3 linked regions of the Sus scrofa genome follow. The protein of the gene in region 1 purifies or fractionates together with the protein of each later gene. This does not show direct contact. Links are inferred from orthologs where the notes say so. Each region holds a gene or a part of one and is shown on either strand. Other genes may lie near its edges.

Region 1 (3,645 bases):
TACCTGAGCTCCCACAATGCCATTGCCCCCGTAGAAGTTCTTGGCATACATATGCATCGATCCTCCTTTTCCTTTACCACAACCTCCTCTTCGTCCTAGAAATGGCAATAGACACGTAACACACCAGAAACCAATATATAAAACAAGAGCCAGGACATGGAAACAACCCAAATGTCCATCCACAGACAACTGGATTAGGAAGATGTGGTAATATATACGCAATGGAATACTACTCAGCCATCAAAAAGAACGAAATAATGCCATTTGCAGCAACATGGATGGAACTAGAGACTCTCATACTGAGTGAAGTAAGTCAGAGAGACAAATACCATATATGATATCACTTATATCTGGAATCTAATATAAAGCACAAATGAACCTTTCCACAGAAAAGAAAATCATGGACTTGGAGAAGAGACTTGTGGTTGCCGAGGGGGAGGGAGTGGAGTGGTTGGGGAGCTTGGGGTTAATAGATACAAACTATTGCCTTTGGAATGGATAAGCAATGAGATCCTGCTGTGTAGCACTGGGAACTATGTCTGGTCACTTTTTTTTTTTTTTTTTGTCTTTTTGCTATTTCTTTGGGCCGCTCCCGTGGCATATGGAGGTTCCCAGGCTAGGGGGTCGAATCGGAGCTGTAGCCACTAGCCTACGCCAGAGCCACAGCAACGCAGGATCCGAGCCGCGTCTGCAACCTACACCACAGCTCACGGCAACGCCGGATCGTTAACCCACTGAGCAAGGGCAGGGACCGAACCCGCAACCTCATGGTTCCTAGTCGGATTTGTTAACCACTGCGCCACGACGGGAACTCCTGGTCACTTCTGATGGAACATGAAAATGTGTGAAAATAGAATGTGTACATGTATGTGTAACTGGGTCACCATGCTGTACAGTAGAAAAAAAAAGGTACTGTGGAAATAACTATTAAAAAAATAATAATAATAAAATAAAAATAAAATAAAACAAACAGGCGTTCTCGTTGTGGCTAACCGGGTTAAAGACCCGATGTTGTCTCTGTGAAGATGCAAGTTCAATCCCTGGCCTCACTCAGTGGATTAAGGATCTGATGTTGCCATGGCTGTGCTGTAGGTCTCAGCAGCAGCTCCAATTCTGACCCTTAGCCTGGGAACTTCCGTATGTCACAAGTTAAAACCAACAAACAAAACCCAACAAAAACAACAAACAAAACCATACCCCGAGTGTTTACTTAGAGGCTCAACCAAGAGAGACCAATTCAATGATATAGGATGATAGCATGGTACCCTGGACTGCTTTTCCCTTCTTTTTTTTTTTGCTAGTTACAAACATCTTCTGATTCCTCCTATACTGTTACAATGGTTTAACACAAGGGGAACATTACGATTCCCAGAATTTAACCTGCATACAATAAAATGCTTATTCTCAATTTATTTTGACTACCAGATTTCTGCTGGCAGGCTTGAATGATATATGCTATTCTGATTTTATAAAGCTGATTTTTTTTTTTTTTTTTTTTTTTTTTTTGTCTTTTTCGAGTGGCACCCGTGGCATATGGAAGTTCTCAGGCTAGGGGTCAAATCAGAGCTACGACTGCTGGCCTACACCACAGCCACAGCAATGCCGGAGGATCCAAGCCATGTCTGCAACCTATACCACAGCTCACAGCAATACCGGACACCCAACCCACTGAGCGAGGCCAGGAATCAAACCCATATCCTTATGGATACTAGTCGGATTCGTTTCCACTGTGCCACAACAAGAACTCCCTAGAGCTGATCTTTTACCTGAAAGGCCAGATAACCTCAAAAATGGTCAGTTTACTCAAAAGCACAATAGGGCACCAAAAGGGAGAGGCTTTTTTGGTTAAGTATTTTTTCTTTTACTTCAAAAAAAGTTTTATTGTTAACTTATAAACAGTTAGCATCTTAATAGGGAAACTTAATTTCACCAACTCCCCCTTTTGTAAATTAACAGCATACCTGTAAGTTCCGCAAGAATTTCCCGGACAGAAAGCCCACGAGTAAAGGTAAAGCCATGAGCTCGGTAGGCTGTGATCAGATGGTCCGTAGGGTTTATGCCAGCCTCCAGGCCCACGCAACAAGCTTCCTGTATTCAAGCAAGCAGCAGCAATGAGTCAATTACAGTACCCATTTCTAGATAAAGTATTTCCCAGACTATTATGAAACATCTGGCCTAGTAGAACCCTTTAGTAATAACCACAAGTGGCTCTATTTTTCATCAGAAATAGAGTAGAGGATAAAGCCCAAGCCAGAGCCATATGTACAGATACGCTGTTTTAAGTCTGCGTGATAATTTGAAAAATGTCCTAAATCAGATGTCAACATTAAAATATTGTGTGAGTTTCACATGAAAATGGAGAGTTCTGTCTTCTCTTGAAGACAAAAACGATTAGAAGCATTAGCCCGTACCACATGGCACCAACTGGCTAGAACCAAGTTAGAACTTCCCCTGCACGGGGCCTCTATGTTCCAGTTCACCACCAGTCCTTGTCACCATTCTCCATTCTTTGTAGAGCTGACAGGCTTCACTCATTTATTCTACCTAAATGGTCCCTGGCAGACATGATTTTGTAACCCTTGGCCTAAACCCACAAAACAAATCAAAAACAAAGCAAAACCCCTTGGCTCCAAAAGCATATCCAGTACACGTGCTCACAATGCCACAGTGGCATAGGAAATCAGCAAAGTAACATGTGACTTTAGCAAAAGCTTCATAGCAGGCCTCATTTTTATTCTAAAGTACCAGCCTCAAATCCTTCAGACACAAAAGGCAGGATAAGAGCCAATACATAGCATACTACAATTCCTAAATAACAGTTTTACTACGTAACTCTCACTCACCTGACCATCACACAAGTGACAGAAACCACGAATAATTTTCTGTTTATAGAGCTGATCTGCTTTTAACTCCATTCGGCGAACAGTCTGCATCATCCTGTAGTACTTGAGCCCATCCTCCCTGGTGAGCACCGTGGTGACAGGTGGGCCCTCTTCCAGCCGGTGAAGATCACATTTCTGAAACACAATCAGACAATTATCTCCCAATCACTTCACTATTAACACTGCCAACTCATTCTAAGATCTAACTCTAATGTAAATGTTTAACTTGAAAACTAGCAGATGAGCTCATCAGAAATGTGGCATATTGCTCCTGACTCCTTAAATCAGAAAACTGACCGTGCAATGGGATGGAGTTTGGGAGGAAGGAAATCTTTCCAGAGGACTTTCACTGAAAACCTCTAGAAATCAACTGAGTTATAGGCTGAAAGACAAACTTCCAAAGAAGCATTCTAAGAATCTTCTTATTCAAATAGTTTACCAAATCACATGGGGTGGGGGGAAGAGACACATGCCTGTGACATAGAAAAGTTCCCAGGCCAGGGATCGAACCCATGCCACAGCAGTGATCCCAGATCCTTAACCCACTCAGCCACCAGGGAACTCCCCAAAAATCACATTTTAAACTTTAGAATAAGTCTTGGAGTTCCCGTCATGGCTCAGTGGTTAACGAATCCGACTAGGAACCGTGAGGTTGCAGGTTTGATCCCTGGCCTCGCTCAGTAGGTTAAGGACCCGGCGTTGCCGTGAGCTATGGTGTAGGATGCAGACGCAGCTCGGATCCCTCCTTGCTTGTGGCTATGGT
Region 2 (4,094 bases), on another chromosome or scaffold:
ATATGAAGCTTTCTTCTTGCTGTAATGAAAACTGAAGAAATCTTGAATAAGGACTGAAGTAAGGGCTTCCTCAGTATGTGATTGAATACAGCCTACCATGCTTCATCAGTTCTGAGTTGCTTTTTCTCGTTGTGAACTACAGTTGCCTCTGACTGTGAACTGGAGATTGGCACTTGCCATCTGCCTCTGCAGAGCTTGACTCATGAGCCACTGCAGCTGCTGACCCTCCACAGCCCCTTCGAGGAGCTCAGGGGGGAGCTCAGGAATGAGGCACTTTGTGCTCTGGAAAAACTGGCAGAACAGGTCTTCAGATGGTTAGATACTTTCAGAAAAAGATTTTATGAGCCCGGTTCGTGCATCTCCTCATAGCTAGAAAAGCACTGAAATCCTTCATGGTGACGTCTGCTCCTCCTGTCGAGCAGTAACCCTCAGACTTCTGTAAAACGTGTGCTGGGTAGCATGTACCTCCCTCCTCACCAAAACCACATGTATGCTGACATTTCCCTCCCTCCTTGCAGCGGTATCTCAGAGCTAACTGCAACAGCTGCCTCCCCAGTTGTAGCCCTCATTTCGTCCGCAATAAAACTTAACACTCAACCTTCAGGTTGTGCGTATTTTTCAGGTCAACTTTAAGATGGAGCTATCCTAACCCTTTTTTTTTTCTCTCTTTCTTATCAGGTCGGTATCACACTTGTGAGCAGGTGGCAAAGTAATATAACCTCTTAAAGCAGACGACCGCTTTTAGTCCATGAAATGATACACCCGTCCATGCACCAAGTGAAGACCCAGGAGTCCCACTTGGGAAACCCTTAGGTCAGCGCTGGGCCCCCCTGATTCTCACTCCGCCCGGCCGCTGCCCCGCAGCGCTCAGTCATGCAGTGCTGACCAAGGTTCCTCTCAGTCTGACAATACAGGCCAGGTCAGCTTAGCTCTGATCAGAGGACGCCTAAAAGCCCACTGCAGGAGGCATTACTAGGCAACGCGAAGACCCTCTTTTTCAAAAGACCCGGCATTCAGGCCGGTGGGGACCAATCCAGGCACCGCTTAGCTGTGGCCCCGGACGCACAGCCAGGCCCAGCGAGGTGCCCGAACCGAGCACAAGAGCGCCGCGGGCGCAACTCTGTGACGTCAAGCCCCGGCCCGCCCTGCTCACTGGGCAGAGGCGGCCCCTTTCTTCCCAGGGCGGGGCGGCGTGCTGACGCCACACGCCGGGGCGTGGCCGAGAGTTTAGTACCCCGGAGTGGGGTGTCGGCGCCTCATTCGGGTGGAGCTGAGCCGAAGACAGGTAGGCGCGCGCTGCCGCCGGGCCTCGCTGGGTTTGGGAGGTTCCGTGCTGGTGGGGCAGGAGGCGGGGGTCACGGCTGAGGACAAGGCCGCTGCGCTCTCGTTGTCGCTGGCTCCCTGATGACAGGGAGTGAAGCTGGCTGGAGCAGGGCGTACTGGGGGAGGTGGGTGGGACGGGGCCTGACGGACGGGCGTGGCAGCCAATGGTGCGCTGGGCGCCTGCAGGCGGGCGGAGATTGGCGGGTGCGGGCGTGCGCGGAAGTTGCGCGGGGCGCGGAGCGGCGCCCCATTGGTGGAGGCGGAGGCGGGGGTGGGCCGCGCGGCGGATGTGAGAGAACGGGCGCCGCTGCCGGGGTGACCCCCAAGGTCGAGGAGGCGTCACGTGGGAGTCACCCGGCAGTGTCCTCTGCCCGCCTGGACGGATGGAAGGGTGGCGCGCCCTTGAAGAAGCGGCTGCGAATTGTGGGCAGTACGCCTTTCCCACAGCGTGGACGGCACGGGTCGGCTTCTGATCGGACTGTCCCTACGCTCCTGGGGTGAACCCTTGAGGGACGGATTACCCCGCAGGCCCCCCACTCTCCCCTGTAAGCCTCCCTGTATTCTTTGGGGTGACGCCGTACTCAGTAGCCTACAATACTCAGCACCCCTTCTTACTCTCCTCCCTGCACTCCTGGGGTGAGGTCTTAAGTGGATCACCCTGCAGTATCCGCAGTATTCAATACTCCACCGTACCCATCCTCTCTGCTCACTCTTGGGGTGGACCCTTGAGTGATTACCCGCAGCACCCACTGTATTCGTCACCTCCACGGTACTCAGTAAGTACCGCACTGTTGAGCACCACACCACACCTTCTTTCTCTGTGCTCCTCAGGTTGATGCCCTGGATGAGTGGATTGTTCTGCAACACACTGCTGTACTCGGTATCCCTCCTTACTCATGTTTGTACCAGACCTCCCTGTGAGCTCTTTAGGGTGGTACCCTTGAGTAGACTACCCTGCAGTACCCTACCGTACTCAGTACCCCCACCATACTCCTCCTTCCAGGTGTTTGATAGCTCATGTTGCAATGAAGGATATCTCTTGGAGGAACATACTAATCCGTGCACCCTTCCCCTTTGGCAAAGCTCCCTGACCTCAGTGCAGATTGTGTACTGAGACAGTAGAAAAGACTGCGTAGATAAGAACCTGCTATCTCTGCCCTTTGCCCAGAACAGGGGAGCGGTGACTCAGGCCCAAGGAATGAACAATGTCTTGGGGTTTCTTGTGCCTTGTTTTGCAGTCCTGTACTTTGAAGCGAGGGCCAGAGACCCACTTCCAGGTATAGTGCTCTGAGCAGTGTTAGGATGAACGGCCTAGGTTGAAGCCTTGTTGGCACTGTGGCAGGAGGTGAAACAGTCAAACCACAGTTTTTTGTGGAAGACCTTCGCTGTGTGATGATACATAATACTGTTCTACCTTTGCAAGTTAGCCCTGGACTAGATCTTGGAAAGATGGAGAAAGATCGGAGTATCCTGATGATTATTTTGAGAGCATTTTCTTGATGGCTAGTGATATTGAGTGTCTTTTCATGTGTTTATTTGCAGTCCCTATACCTTCTTCAGTCAAATGTCTGTTCTGATCGTGTGTGTGTGTGTGTGTGTGTGTGTGTTTTAGCCACCTCTGGGCCGGGGATTGAACCCAAACCACAGCAGTGACAATGCTGAGTCCTTACATGCTAGGCCACTGAGGAACTCCATCTTTTGCCCATTTTGTAATTGGATCCTTTGCCTTTTTAAAATTTTTTTTTTTTTGAGGCGTTCCCGTCAGGGCGCAGTGGAACCGAATCCGACTAGGAACCATGAGGTTGCGAGTTCTATCCCTGGCCTCGCTTAGTGGGTTAAGGATCCAGCGTTGCCTTGAGCTGTGGTGTAGGTCACAGACATGGCTCGGATCCGGAGTTGCTGTGGCTGTGGTGTAGGCTGGCAGCTGTAGCTCCTATTGGACCTCTAGCCTGGGAACCTCCGATGCCGCAAGTGCGACCCTAAAAAAAAAAAAAAGCAAAGAAAAAAATTTTTTTTTCTTTTGAGAATTTCTTAAACATTCTAGTCCTTGGTTGGGTATGTGGTTTGCAGATATTTTCTACAGTCTGTAGCTTGTCTTTTCATCGTAACAGGGTCTTTTGCAGAGCAAAAGTTCTTAATTTTGGCAAAGTCCTGTTTATGAATTTTGTCTTTTATACTTTGTGCTTTTAGCATCAAGTTAAGGACTCTGCCTAGCTCTAGTTCCTGAGATTTTTTTTTTTTATCTTACATATTTTTCTAACAGTTTTATAGTTTTGTGTTGTACATTTAAATTTATAATCCATTTCAGTTGATTCCTCTATAAGGTATGAAGTCTAGTTTGAGTGGTCTCTTTCTTTTTCTTTCATTCTTTTTCTTTCCTTTTTTTTATTTTTTATTTATAAGCAAATTTATTTATAAATAAATACAAATTTGTTTGTAAATAAATATAAGTTTATTTATTTTTATCGCTACGCCTGTGGTATATGGATATTCTTGGGCCAGGGATCAAATCCGAGTCACAATAGTGACCTATGACACAGCTGTGGCCATGCTGGACCCTTTAACTCACTGGACTGGGCTGGGGAATGAGCCCACACCTCCACAGCAACCTGAGCCACTGCAGTTGGATCCTTAACCTAGTGCGTCACAGCAGGGACTCCTCTTTTTCTTTTCTTTCCTCTTTTTTTTTTTTTTAACCGTCTGTGGATGTCCAGCTGGCAGCATTTGTTGAAAAACTGTTCCTCCTCCATTGAATTGTTTTTGCTTTGTCA
Region 3 (4,255 bases), on another chromosome or scaffold:
TCTGCAACCTACACCATAGCTCATGGCAATACTGGATCCTTTCACCCACTAAGCAAGGCCAGGGATCCAACCTGAGTCCTCATGGATACCAGTTGGATTCATTACTGCTGAGCCACACAGGAACTCCATGATTAGCATGTTTGATATAAAAATATCAAGTCTTTTTTGTGGGCAAAAATTTTTCCTCAAAATTGTTTTCCATTTTACATGCTATTTTAATGTGTTTTTTAAACTTATTTTGACATAAACAGAAAAGTTGCAAAGATAGTAAAAAGAATCCCCATGTACCCTTCACCCAGATGTACTGCCTTTTAAAAATTAATTGCAGGGAGTTCTCATGTGGTGCAGTTGTCACTGCAGTGGGGGTGGGTGGGCAGGGTCGGTCTGATGCTTTGGTGACAGATTCAATCCCTGGCCAGGGAACTTCCATATGCCTTGGGTGCAGCCAAAAAAAAAAAAAAAAAATTAATTGCACACTATGAACATTTTTTTATGTCCACAGACACCATGGCCAACATTTATTACTGGCCAGGTGAGCCTTTTATCCACCATGACTCTGCTATCCCCACAATAACCCCTTAAGACGAATACCATAATTTCCCACGCCTCACATATGAATAAATCAGGCCTTAGATGCTTCCAAAATGTCACTTCACAATCCTTTGTTATGGATCTTTGATTCCTATATTTGTGCACCTACTCCTTAGGTTTTCGATGCCATCTCTAAGTAAGATTATCCACAAAATTCCCCCAAGCCTGCTGGCAGGGCTGAAGGGAGGTCCACAATCACCACAGCACCTTAAATCCATGTCCCATCACCAGGCTACGCCATGGCCCATAATGCACAATGACTGACTACATTTAAAATCTTATAGTGATCTTGTAAACAGCTTAATGTTTCATTTATGATTCAAAATTACCTCATCAAATTTAAATATGTAAATCATACTCTCCTCTCTGCAACCCTACTGGATATTAGTTCATGTAAAAATGTGTGTCCATCCTATGTTCACAGAGTTATTCACAGTAGCAAACAGTAGAAGCAAACCAGGTGTCTACGAACAGATGAATAAATAAAATGCGGTGTCAGGGTGGAAAAATTTTCCTTCTATTTTTCTAATTTCTTTGGCTAGTCTAATGGTTAAATTGTCATAAAAAAGATTAATAGGCAAGGAACCAACTTAATTTCATATGTATGGGAGCCCTATAAAAATAAGAAGGTAGTCAGGCAAGTGAGGCTTATCTGCCCTCCTGAGCTGAGGGAAGGGTTGGGGCTGGAGCTTCAGAGGGGAGGAGGGCCACTCACAAGAAGAGAAGAGCAGGGCAGAGGCTTGGTGATTAGATGTTTGTCCTGCCATGCATGTAAGTCTTTTATTTTATTTTATTTTGATTTATTTATTTATTTTTTGTCTTTTTGCTATTTCTTTGGGCCGCTCCTGCGGCATATGGAGGTTCCCAGGCTAGGGGTCGAATCGGAGCTGGAGCCGCCGGCCTACACCAGAGCCACAGCAACGCGGGATCCGAGCTGCGTCTGCAACCTACACCACAGCTCACGGCAACGCCGGATCGTTAACCCACTGAGCAAGGCCAGGGACCGAACCTGCAACCTCATGGTTCCTAGTGGGATTCGTTAACCACTGCGCCACGACGGGAACTCCCCAAGTAAGTCTTTTAGATAGAAAAGTTTCTCTCTGGTAATTGCTTTTTCTGGTCTGGTCCTTATTTAAATTCTTTTAGGCAGTTAAGGGAGAGCTACAGGCTTTCCCTCATATTGCTGGATACTGACTGCCTTTGGCTCAAAGCAACCCGCGTGCCAAGTTGGCACACTTGGGGTGGCTATTCCGCTACCCTTCAGGGCTCGTGAAAACCACAGAACATCAACCTGCCTTGAAAAAGAAAGGAGCGTGCTACAGCGCGAGTGAACCTTGAAGACTTTATGCTCAGTGATGCACACCAGTCACAAAAGGACAAACACTCCAGGCCTCCTGTATGAGGAAAGAACGGTGGTTGCCAGGGACTGGGGAGGGACAAATGTGGAGGTACCCTTTCAAGGGTACAGAGCTTCGGTCTTCGGCAAAATGAACTTATATAGAGCCTGATCACAGAGCAACGCGATGTATTTAATGCCACTGAACTGCACACTCGAAAGCGACTAAGATGGTTAAGTTCCACGCTGTGTGTATATCACCGATATTAAGTGTTTTTTAAACTTACACAGGATGTGTTTCACATTAATTAAATAAGCAAAGGGTCTCCGACCCGACGCTGTGCTCAGAGGCAGCCCGCTCCGCCGCCCCACCTCCCGGCAGGCCTCCTGGGTTAAGCGTCACTCTGAGGCGACCCCGCGGCCAGAGAAGAAAACCTGCGAACCTGGAGCCCCGCACTGAGCCTTACACATGTCGTTCCCAATGGAACGTTTCGGGATTTGCGTCTTCGCTCGAGGAGACCGAGGCCCCGTGAGTCTTAAAGGAAAACACCAAGCCCGCAACAGTGGGCCCCCATACACTTCCTGGGCTCGGCTTCTCACTCTGTACCTTTCGCGGCAGGTCACGCCTCAGAAAGGAGGGACATAGCTCAGACCCCGGGTCACTGCTGACTTCGCGGCCCAACGAGGCGCTCTGAGGGCGGGGGAGCCGGGTGGGGAGGGAAACACGCCGCCGCTCACTTTCATTTCCGGCCGCCCAGCCAACGCCTCCATCTTGTGCCTTCTGCCGCTTACTGACAACAAAGGCGCCGGGAAATTCCGCGGGAGCCGTCTTTGGCTAGAAGCCTGCTGCAAGCCCTACGCCAGGATCGCCGCGTGTCCCAGAAACAGAACAGCTTCTCAGCGTTCCGAACCGCCCCATAGGCAGCCGCCATTTTGTACGGCAAACCCCTCTATTTCCGCGACCGGCCGCTGACGTAACTGGCGAGGTGCAAGCCAACAAAGGCCGCGCTCATGCCCTCTGGCGGCGGTACAGGAGCAGCATCGCCAGCTTTGACCTGCGGGGGGACTCTGCTTCCGGGTCTTCTCGGGGGGCGTGGCCCGGACCTGTGAGCCGAGCTGGGGCGCGGCTGCGGTGGCCTGGGAACGTGTGTATTGGCATTGGCGCGGGCGCTGTGTGCTGAGCCAGCATGGCTTGATGGGCTCGGTGATCTGTTAGTCACCGTGTCGGAAAGGCCCGTGCTGTTGTTGCCATTTACAGATGAGAAAACAGCGTCCACCTTGCCCTCCCCATTCAACCTTAGTGGAGGTGGCCCGGAGGTCCCTCCTTTATATAAAATGGGGTGACGTTATCTAATGGGCAGGGCAATTGCAAGGACTGAGTTTTCCAATCACAGTATCTCCTTAAATCTCCGTTTCTTACCCACTCGTAATAGTAAGAACAGCAACCCCTTACAGCATGTGTACCACTTGGTCTACAACCCTATGAGGCTCGTTTTACAGGTGAGGACAGGGAGGAAGGCTCAAAGTCCCCCAATAGCTGGTATTGGGGACAGTTTGGGGTGAGAGATTGACTAACTGTAACTGCTACACATTCTCCCTGTCAGGTGTGTGCAAAAAAGGTGGTAAAGTAACGGAGCCCAACCCTCATAGTTGTTGCAGCCTCCTGGGACAGACACTGGGGCTTCTAAGGCCAGGCCCCTCAGGGGAGGAAAGAGATGAGGTAGGGAAGAAGAGGGGGAGTACCAGAGGGAATGGGCTGGAGGCACCGAGAAGCATCTTTGTCCCTTCTGCACCAAAAGTGAGGAAATGGCTTTCAGCCTGAAAAATGGGAATCTGGGATGATAGTAATGATGATAATTGCTACAACACACTGAGCAGTTACCACAGCTACCACAGTAAGCCTTAATCCAGCCTCAAAAATGGAGACAACTTGGGAAAAGTAGGTCCCTTATCCTTGGCAGTCTTTTACTTACCTATGAAGCTAGGGCAGAGAGGATCCCTGTCCTGGCCACCTAGCCAAGTTGTTATGAGCATAGAGTTTTGGTGTTCTCTTTGCCATCTGATGTGGCTTTTTTTTTTTTTGTCTTTTTGCTATTTCTTGGGCCGCTCCCGCGGCATATGGAGGTTCCCAGGCTAGGGGTCCAATCGGAGCTGGAGCCACCAGCCTATACCACAGCCACAGCAACACAGGATCCGAGCCACGTCTGCAACCTACACCACAGCTCACGGCAACGCCGGATCGTTAACCCACTGAGCCAGGGCAGGGACCGAACCCGCAACCTCATGGTTCCTAGTCGGATTCGTTAATCACTGCGCCATGACGGGAAC

Evidence for each region.
Region 2: the proteins of PDHA1 (region 1) and OGDH fractionate together in Homo sapiens (co-fractionation; 3 studies listed by BioGRID). This does not show direct contact. The link is inferred for Sus scrofa from reciprocal best matches to the Homo sapiens genes PDHA1 and OGDH.
Region 3: the proteins of PDHA1 (region 1) and RAB7A fractionate together in Homo sapiens (co-fractionation; 3 studies listed by BioGRID, with this or other methods). This does not show direct contact. The link is inferred for Sus scrofa from reciprocal best matches to the Homo sapiens genes PDHA1 and RAB7A.

What each region holds. Positions count from the first base shown.
Region 1 is NC_010461.5:15,706,393-15,710,037, reverse strand, and holds part of PDHA1 (pyruvate dehydrogenase E1 component subunit alpha, somatic form, mitochondrial), read right to left. Parts: intron 3,018-3,645; coding exon 2,844-3,017; intron 2,089-2,843; coding exon 1,962-2,088; intron 96-1,961; coding exon 4-95; intron 1-3. UniProt on the Homo sapiens protein: The pyruvate dehydrogenase complex catalyzes the overall conversion of pyruvate to acetyl-CoA and CO(2), and thereby links the glycolytic pathway to the tricarboxylic cycle.
Region 2 is NC_010460.4:50,682,071-50,686,164, reverse strand, and holds the start of OGDH (2-oxoglutarate dehydrogenase, mitochondrial), read left to right. Parts: upstream 1-1,174; 5' UTR 1,175-1,285; intron 1,286-1,648; exon of another isoform or gene 1,649-1,868; intron 1,869-4,094. UniProt on the Homo sapiens protein: 2-oxoglutarate dehydrogenase (E1o) component of the 2-oxoglutarate dehydrogenase complex (OGDHC). Participates in the first step, rate limiting for the overall conversion of 2-oxoglutarate to succinyl-CoA and CO(2) catalyzed by the whole OGDHC.
Region 3 is NC_010455.5:71,883,957-71,888,211, forward strand, and holds the start of RAB7A (ras-related protein Rab-7a), read right to left. Parts: upstream 2,803-4,255; 5' UTR 2,666-2,802; intron 1-2,665.